2 linked regions of the Daphnia pulex genome follow. The protein of the gene in region 1 interacts with the protein of each later gene in a pairwise test. Links are inferred from orthologs where the notes say so. Each region holds a gene or a part of one and is shown on either strand. Other genes may lie near its edges.

Region 1 (3,758 bases):
TAATGAGTGGCTCTTTCAGCGAGCGGAAAAACAGCTTCAACGTGCCAGTGACAACGTGAATATCAATTTGAGACAAAGTCGGCTGGCCTTTGCCACGCAAGAGGCGCTCCTGAAATTGAATAAATCAAAGGGCTGTCATTTGGGACTGATCAAATTTGGGGTTCGATTCCTAGTGATGAAATTACCTTCATGTCTTTAATTTCCTTTTCGGAACCGTTGACACGATAGATGCCAACCTCTGTCAATCCGCGGCGCTCAATTTCGTTGACGCAGTGAATGACAATGCCGGGGATCATAGGAGAGATGTTGGGAGCGTAATCAGCAACGGTTCCGACGAATCCCTTATTAGAGGGTGTTTGAACAGTCGGGACGCAAGGCATGGGCATGCGGGACTTGCAATCAACGTGACAAGTTCCTCTACATTCGACACACTTCAAGGCGGGCTTGCCAAATTTAATCCTGCGCAATAAGAGGTTTCACTAATTAAATTAAAGCCCAGCACGTTTCCCAACGCAAAGAAAATACAACACTCCTCACCTGTTGCCACAAGGGAGGCAGTTCTCTGGTTTGATGATGGTTTTCTGGCTGAAGGTGTGCTGGCGCTGATTGATTCGCCCACCAGAAGCCATAGTGCGCAAGTACGCAGTTCCGCCAAGCGTGTGGGTCGAGTGCGCTGAAGCCGACGGATTAGCACTCGGACGGCGGATGGCCACGGGAGTCTTGCCATCTGGAAGTTCCCAAGATGATTCGATCAAATCTAGTTTGTCAACAAACAATTAATTAGCTGTTGTTCCCATTGTTGTGGCCAGGCAATCAAGACAATTTATCTCTTACACTGCGGAGGAGCGTTCGGTAGGATTCCCGGTTCGCTAGAACTGCGCTTTCTTTGGTTTTTAGGTGTTGCATTGCTGATATCGTTTTCCCTGCCCATATCGGGATGGTTTTCAATAATAGATGTGGCTGTGATTGGACCTCCCTTGGATACAGTCACTGTCGTTGTGGCAACCACGCGTTCGTGACCGGACACTTCCATGATATTCTTTAAATGCAAACAAAGAAAAGAGAGTTGGTAACTAATGTCACAGAAACGAGGGAAACTTTGAACTGTACCTCGCGATTAGACGACGCCTTGTATCGTTTCGAGTTGTCGAGATTGTACATTCCTTCCGATGTCCTTTTACCTCGAGGTGCCCGACTGGAACGCATCACTGAGAGCTCGAGTTCTTCCTCTGTGCGTTCAGTGGTCAGGTCGAATGACGCCAAGAGCGAGCCGGTGCTGTTGAGCTCGTTGATTGTGTTTAATCGGTCACCAGGCGAATCGAAATTGCCACGCGAGTAGCGTCCTGTGTTGCTGAGCATCGCCAGCTTTTCACGTGTCTCATCTCGAATATCTTTCTCAGCTGACACGATTTCACGTACAACGTGCAATTGCTTTTCCTGTAAAACAAGTGCAGACGAGACATTGATGGTAAACATTAAAGAGTGATAATAATGTTGCAGATAACATACCAAAGACTTTTTCTCGTCAGACACTTGCTTTCTGACTTTGATCTCATTTTTCAGCAAAACAGTAGCATGGTGGTATTGCAGCTCTAATTTGCCATTCATTTTGTTGACTTCATTCAACTGATTGTGCAGACGTTTGAGCTCTGCTTCAGCTTCGAGCCATTTCTGGCGGCAAGCTTCCTGATTAACGGCAAACTTGAGGAATTCTAAAAAGAAGGAAAGTGTCAAATGCAATGATTGCCACACATTGTCTTGAGCAATTTACCTTTTTCAGAACTGTTGACAAAGTAATTGAAGCCTCTGCACAGGTCATCATACTGAGCCAACACAGATACCTGCTTGGCAGACATGGCTAGGGGAAAACCTAAATAAGAATCCATTAATGTCAATGCCACAACGGGGGACCAGTTTGAAGTTTGGCGAAACAACACATCAACAAATTTTTAATTATACAATTTTCAATAATTAAAACTAAAAATGTTTAAATATCTCAATAAGTTCAATCAAACCCTTAAATAAAATGTTTAAGACTCTTTCTAACTGTTGACAACCAGAAAATAAGACAGTTTGGAACACCACTACAATTGACACTTGTTTGGGTGTGATTTGAAAACCAAAGAAAAGTGACACACAAAATGCTTTAGAAAAAATTTTTAACAGCAAAAAAAAGTAAAAACGTTCACATACCAAAAATAAAACACTCTTAATGATGGAAGACAACAGAAATCCCCGTTGTAATTTGAAGCTTTCTTGTAAAACGGTTCACTTGTGGCTTACAGTTGGCATCCCGACGACGAGTATCGAGGGAAAACGCTTGGATTTTTGAAAATGTTCCGTTGAGGAAGGGTGCGGCGTTGCCGATTTTCCGTATACATGCTCGCCCCTCCCTTAAAATACCCCACCCCCTAGCCTAGTCCACCTGACAACTAGAGAGTAATGGAGCTTACAGCTTAAAGACGTTGGAAAAAAAGGGTGAAGATTTACGACAACAAAAATATACTGGATCGATATGTATAGCGATGGCTCCATATTTATTTTCAATTATTCATAAGAAATATTATTCTCCATGAATAACGATCACGAGTAAACATGACGTTTGCTGCCGCCGGGCATGGATGCGCGGCGGACATGCTCCCGTCTTTAAAAAAAACCCAGAAAAATCCCAAAATGTTGAATATGGAAATGTAAGCAATAAAAGTCAATCGCATTATGGAAATGGGGGATTTGGCAGATATTCCTTCATCCACCACGAGCGCTTTCCATCGTCCAATGAGCCATTAATCGCATTAAATCTACTTTTTCTCCCGTTTATGTCCACCATATTTCTTGACATTCTCGGAATTTCTTTTTTTTTCCCCAAGAAGATATTAGAGACTGCTCATCTGCGAAGCAAAAAAAATATACATAAAATAAACCCAGCAGAGAAACGGTTCTGTATATGCATGAAAGCGATAATGTAGTAGTACAGTAGGAGTCGAGCGAAAGTTTTGCGCGAGCTATATAGCCTCCTCCTCATCCATAACTCGAATAATCCATCATCCAAGACCATAGACACATATACTTTCTCTCTCTTTCTCCATTTCGTCGTCTTATATTCCATCCAGGGCTCTTTTCTCGTTTGAAGTTGGACCAAGCAACTCTACACTATATACTATATATCTCTGACACAGACTCGCCCGGGAGAGTTGGGTTTGGTTGCTGCTGCACACAGTATAGTAGTAGTACTATATACGGCATCAACTCTGAAAGGCGACAGATATTGCTGCCGTGCTGCATGCTTGATGTTGGATTTACACTGTCTACCCTAGACATCTACATTCAAAAGAGCGCATTCGCCTATATGCTGCTAGCTGGTTCAATATTTATTCTGAAGCTTTCAGTCTAGCTATCCTTTTTTATTTCGACTGACTTGATGGAAGTCGCACAGCATCGCACGACTCTTTTTTCTCTTTTTTCGTGTTGAACAAAAGTCATTCAAGAAAAGAATTGCTGCGAACCGCACTCGAAAGAGATCAACACCGCGACGACGGGTTTGAAATATTCAAAAATGATTTTTTGGAAGGAGACTCTCATTTCTCGGCGGGATATCGTGTTGCTGTGTATACACAGCGACTATAACGCCAAAGAGATACACAAGCGAGAGGGTTTTCAATATATGACATTCGAGTCTGGAAAAAAAGGAAGGAAAAGACACGTTGCATTGATGGGGTCACGATCGTCTACAAACCAAAGACGATCCGCATTGTTCTCAA
Region 2 (3,714 bases), on another chromosome or scaffold:
AATAATAATAAATAAATAAATATACAAAAAGTTAAAAATAAAATATGCGAACTAAGCAAATGGCTTTAAATTTACCTCAATGACGTCGGAGAATAAAAAGAGTGTCAGCTGCCCACCACGACCAACAATACCATCGCCCAATTCAATAACGTCGCATTGGGATACAAAGCTACGATGGGAAGAAACAATATGTGCCTAAATTTCAATTTGAAATAATGTAAAAATGAGTTGAAATTTAACATCTATTTTAATTAAAAGAAAAATTATTTAAATGACAAAATTTAACGAAGCTTACAGGACAGTTTTCGATGTCGTTGAAAATGTCAAAAAGGACAACTTGACCCTCAGTCCTCCGTTTGTCTTCATTGATGTGCGTCATTACTTCTTTGATCGTGGACAGAGCTTTCTCCAGTTCACCGTAATCCGGATTGCTTTTTGGGGTCTGCTTGAGTAAATCGTTCAAAAGCAAACTAATGGATGGTAGTCGTTGAACAGGACGAATAAGAAGCTCTTGTAGGCTCTGCCGTCGACATTTGGGATTACTCTGACCCAGTTTAAGGAATGCGTGGAAACGTGGCTTCGATCGGTCGCTCATGCTCAACACTTCTTTGGTTTGCTCAAAAAAGTTGACAAAAGGAGGGTAGGCCTTAACCAAGTCATGCGACTACAAAAGTAAAATATACAGTTATGTAAACGAATATGCTGGGTATGCGAAAATTCTTTACTTACATGCTTCAAAATTAAAGCTCCGACGCTGATGTCTTCTCTCCAGTTGAGTGCGGTATTTTTAAGTTGCACAAGTAACTCGAAATGGATTTCATGGATAGGCGGTAGATTGCCAAAAATGATTTTGACCTCCGTGGGATCAAGCAAAGAGCCTCCAACTTGGCTAGGATCCTCAAGTGGCTTTTTGAACACCTAGGGATGAAATGTTGAATTTATATATTGTGGTAAATAACGCGCAATAAATAACACCAAACCTCAACAATTGTCTCCAGTATTTCCACATAATTCATTTCCGTATGCAACAATTCCATGAACACCTGATGTCGAGGGGACATTGCTTTGAGATCCTGTGGTGTAGGAACGGAAATGGTGAGATCACCTTGACCCCCCACTTTCTCGGGACTCGTGGCATCTAGAAACGATCCACTTAGGCTGAGTAAGCCAGATTCACTAATCGAGGAACGGCGGCGATGAGTGTCTATGAATAAACAACATTTTCGTTAGTCATTAAAAGGGGGAAAAACTCCAAGCAATAAACATTTGTACCATGACCAGACGATGGAACTTGAAGTAAGCCAGGCGATCCTCCTTGAGCAGCAAGTTGAGACACTGTGTCTCTCAAGCGTTTACGCTTGCGGTTTCGAGATCCTGGAGTTGTGGGTGACAATACCCCATTCCTTGGGCTCGTCAAATGAGTCTGTAAAAATCCCGGGTTTTTAGAAGCGTTGAGTAAACAAAAGAATATCAATTATTACCTCTTTATAAGGATAAAGTTTTTCACTGGCACAAATATCCATTTGAATTGAAACCCAAAACCATTTAACTTCAACCAACATAGCTTTACTGGGTAGCTTCTCTGGAATGTTTCCAACTCCAAGGGGGTCTATTACCTATTAAAAGGATTTCGTAAAATTCCACCATTGTAAATCTTATTGACATGAAACTTACCACATGCGTGCAGTTAGGATCATCCAATGTAGTTACAGATCCTCCGTTGGTAGTCAAAATTTCGTTCATTTGAGTAACCTCCTCGTCATTAATACCTATCCAGCAAACATTGGTGCCCTCAAAAATCTTGAGTGCGTTGTTCGTTTGCTGCAAAACGGAAAATATTTGATGTGGTAAATAAATTTCAATAATGACAATGAAATAATACCATTGTGGAGTCAATGGCACGAACACTTAGATCGTGACGTTTTTCCCACGCTAAGTGGACCCACGAAGCACTCATAACTGGAATATTGAATGTGACTGCATACTGATATTTCTCTCCTCCAACTTTATTGGCAATAAGGTGGGTGATTTTGTTACAGTCAAATTCCTTTCGAATGCTGCCACCCATGTGATGGATACAAGAGACCAGTGTGTTCTAGTGATGGTAAAACATTATTCCAATTGTTAAATGATTGGAAAATTGCATTTCTTTTAAAGCAACTCACCACTTCCTCTCGATTTCTAAAGCCAGTGAAGCAGGATACTACATTCTCCATTGAAATAGAAAACAATGGCCGATCAAGTTCAGGCATAAAATACTTCTTAGAAACTATGTCAAGCAAAGCTGAGTAGCCCAGAATCCTGCATTCCTTCTTGTACAGAACCTCAAACACTTCATCGGAAAACTCATACAGAACAAACACTGTGTCATGCTGAGGGTTAACAAATTCAAGACCATCTTCTGAATGGAATACTGGTACTCCAAAACTCTAGAAAGTACATTTTTACAAATAACAACTTTGACATTTTAAATGTATAAAAACTTACTTCGGCAGCTTCTTGAACCCCTTTCACATCACACACTCTTCCCACTAAACATATCTTGGATGTAATAACTGAAATATTTACAAAAATATTTAATAGAAGTGACAGTTCTACATGATAGTAAAAATTTTTATACCTGGATGAGAATCCTCTTTATTCCTGCGAGATTTCTTGGACGGGGTTTGTAGAGTAAGGTAATTCATAGAAGCAGACACTGAACCAGACATGTCATACGTTGTCTCCATCATTTTGATTTAAAATAAAATCCACGGGTTGTAACGTTTGAAAATCAAACTCCCAAAATTTTTCTCAACCGTATAACAAACAAGACTGGAGCTCACAATCGAATTTCAAAAAACAATAAGTAGGCGAGCCATTTCTTCGAGTTTATTGTGCAACTGTAAACCACACTGGACTGCCTTGCATAAATGAAAAAGCCGAAATTTCAAATTTCATACAGCGTTGCCAGACAGTTTGCCCGTGTTTATACGAAAATTTTCCATTATCCTACCGCGACTCCGCGACCGTTATAAACACCATCACATCAATGCATACGTGTGTGTTGGTATGCACCTGCGGTAGAGGATCCTTTCTTTATCTCGGTGCTCACCAAACCCTAAGATGATGACAAACACTTTCAGTTTGCACACCTGGTGACTCGCCTGTTGAGGCATATACTTTAATTCCATTATTTTACCTGCTATTTTTAATACTTTAATTTTTTATAATTTAATTTTTAATAATTTCAATCGATTTTCAGAGTTTTCTGTTATAAACTTAAAATGAACAGGCTACACGTTAATCAATTTTAATTATTAATTCAAATTTTCTATAAATTAAAATAATATTTGGAGTCCAAATTTCACCTAATCTAAATAATGTCTTTCGTTCCAGGTTCTGAAAATATTGTATTATCAAACACAAAAAATTTTTATTTCGAGTTCTAATGTTCTAATGTCTCAACATTTTGAAAACAATTCAAAATATTTTTAAAATATTATTTTGAGCCCAATGTCAGGTCATAGATAAAGACGACTGGTTGATTGTCTCCTATCCTTTTAGCCCTATCCCTACTGACCCCGAGTTCTTGGAGTGCTTGTAGTGCCTCTAGCGGATAAAGTACTGTACTGTACCGAGGCTACGAAGGGTTTTGCAGACGAAGATTGTTTTCCTTCTGTCTTGGTAAAATTCTTGGCTGGCGTTTAAAAGTCCTAGGTAATTTTGTCATAA

Evidence for each region. The genes of interacting proteins can lie anywhere in the genome.
Region 2: the proteins of rac GTPase-activating protein 1-like (region 1) and protein ECT2-like interact in a two-hybrid assay, tested with the Drosophila melanogaster proteins (2 studies listed by BioGRID). The link is inferred for Daphnia pulex from reciprocal best matches to the Drosophila melanogaster genes tum and pbl.

What each region holds. Positions count from the first base shown.
Region 1 is NC_060028.1:9,420,893-9,424,650, forward strand, and holds the start of rac GTPase-activating protein 1-like, read right to left. Parts: upstream 2,339-3,758; 5' UTR 2,194-2,338; intron 1,871-2,193; 5' UTR 1,857-1,870; coding exon 1,772-1,856; intron 1,713-1,771; coding exon 1,510-1,712; intron 1,438-1,509; coding exon 1,111-1,437; intron 1,040-1,110; coding exon 835-1,039; intron 758-834; coding exon 538-757; intron 460-537; coding exon 186-459; intron 110-185; coding exon 1-109.
Region 2 is NC_060024.1:8,173,765-8,177,478, reverse strand, and holds the start of protein ECT2-like, read right to left. Parts: upstream 2,928-3,714; 5' UTR 2,733-2,927; coding exon 2,621-2,732; intron 2,556-2,620; coding exon 2,488-2,555; intron 2,430-2,487; coding exon 2,166-2,429; intron 2,096-2,165; coding exon 1,883-2,095; intron 1,822-1,882; coding exon 1,675-1,821; intron 1,617-1,674; coding exon 1,482-1,616; intron 1,424-1,481; coding exon 1,273-1,423; intron 1,205-1,272; coding exon 981-1,204; intron 919-980; coding exon 730-918; intron 665-729; coding exon 296-664; intron 196-295; coding exon 76-195; intron 1-75.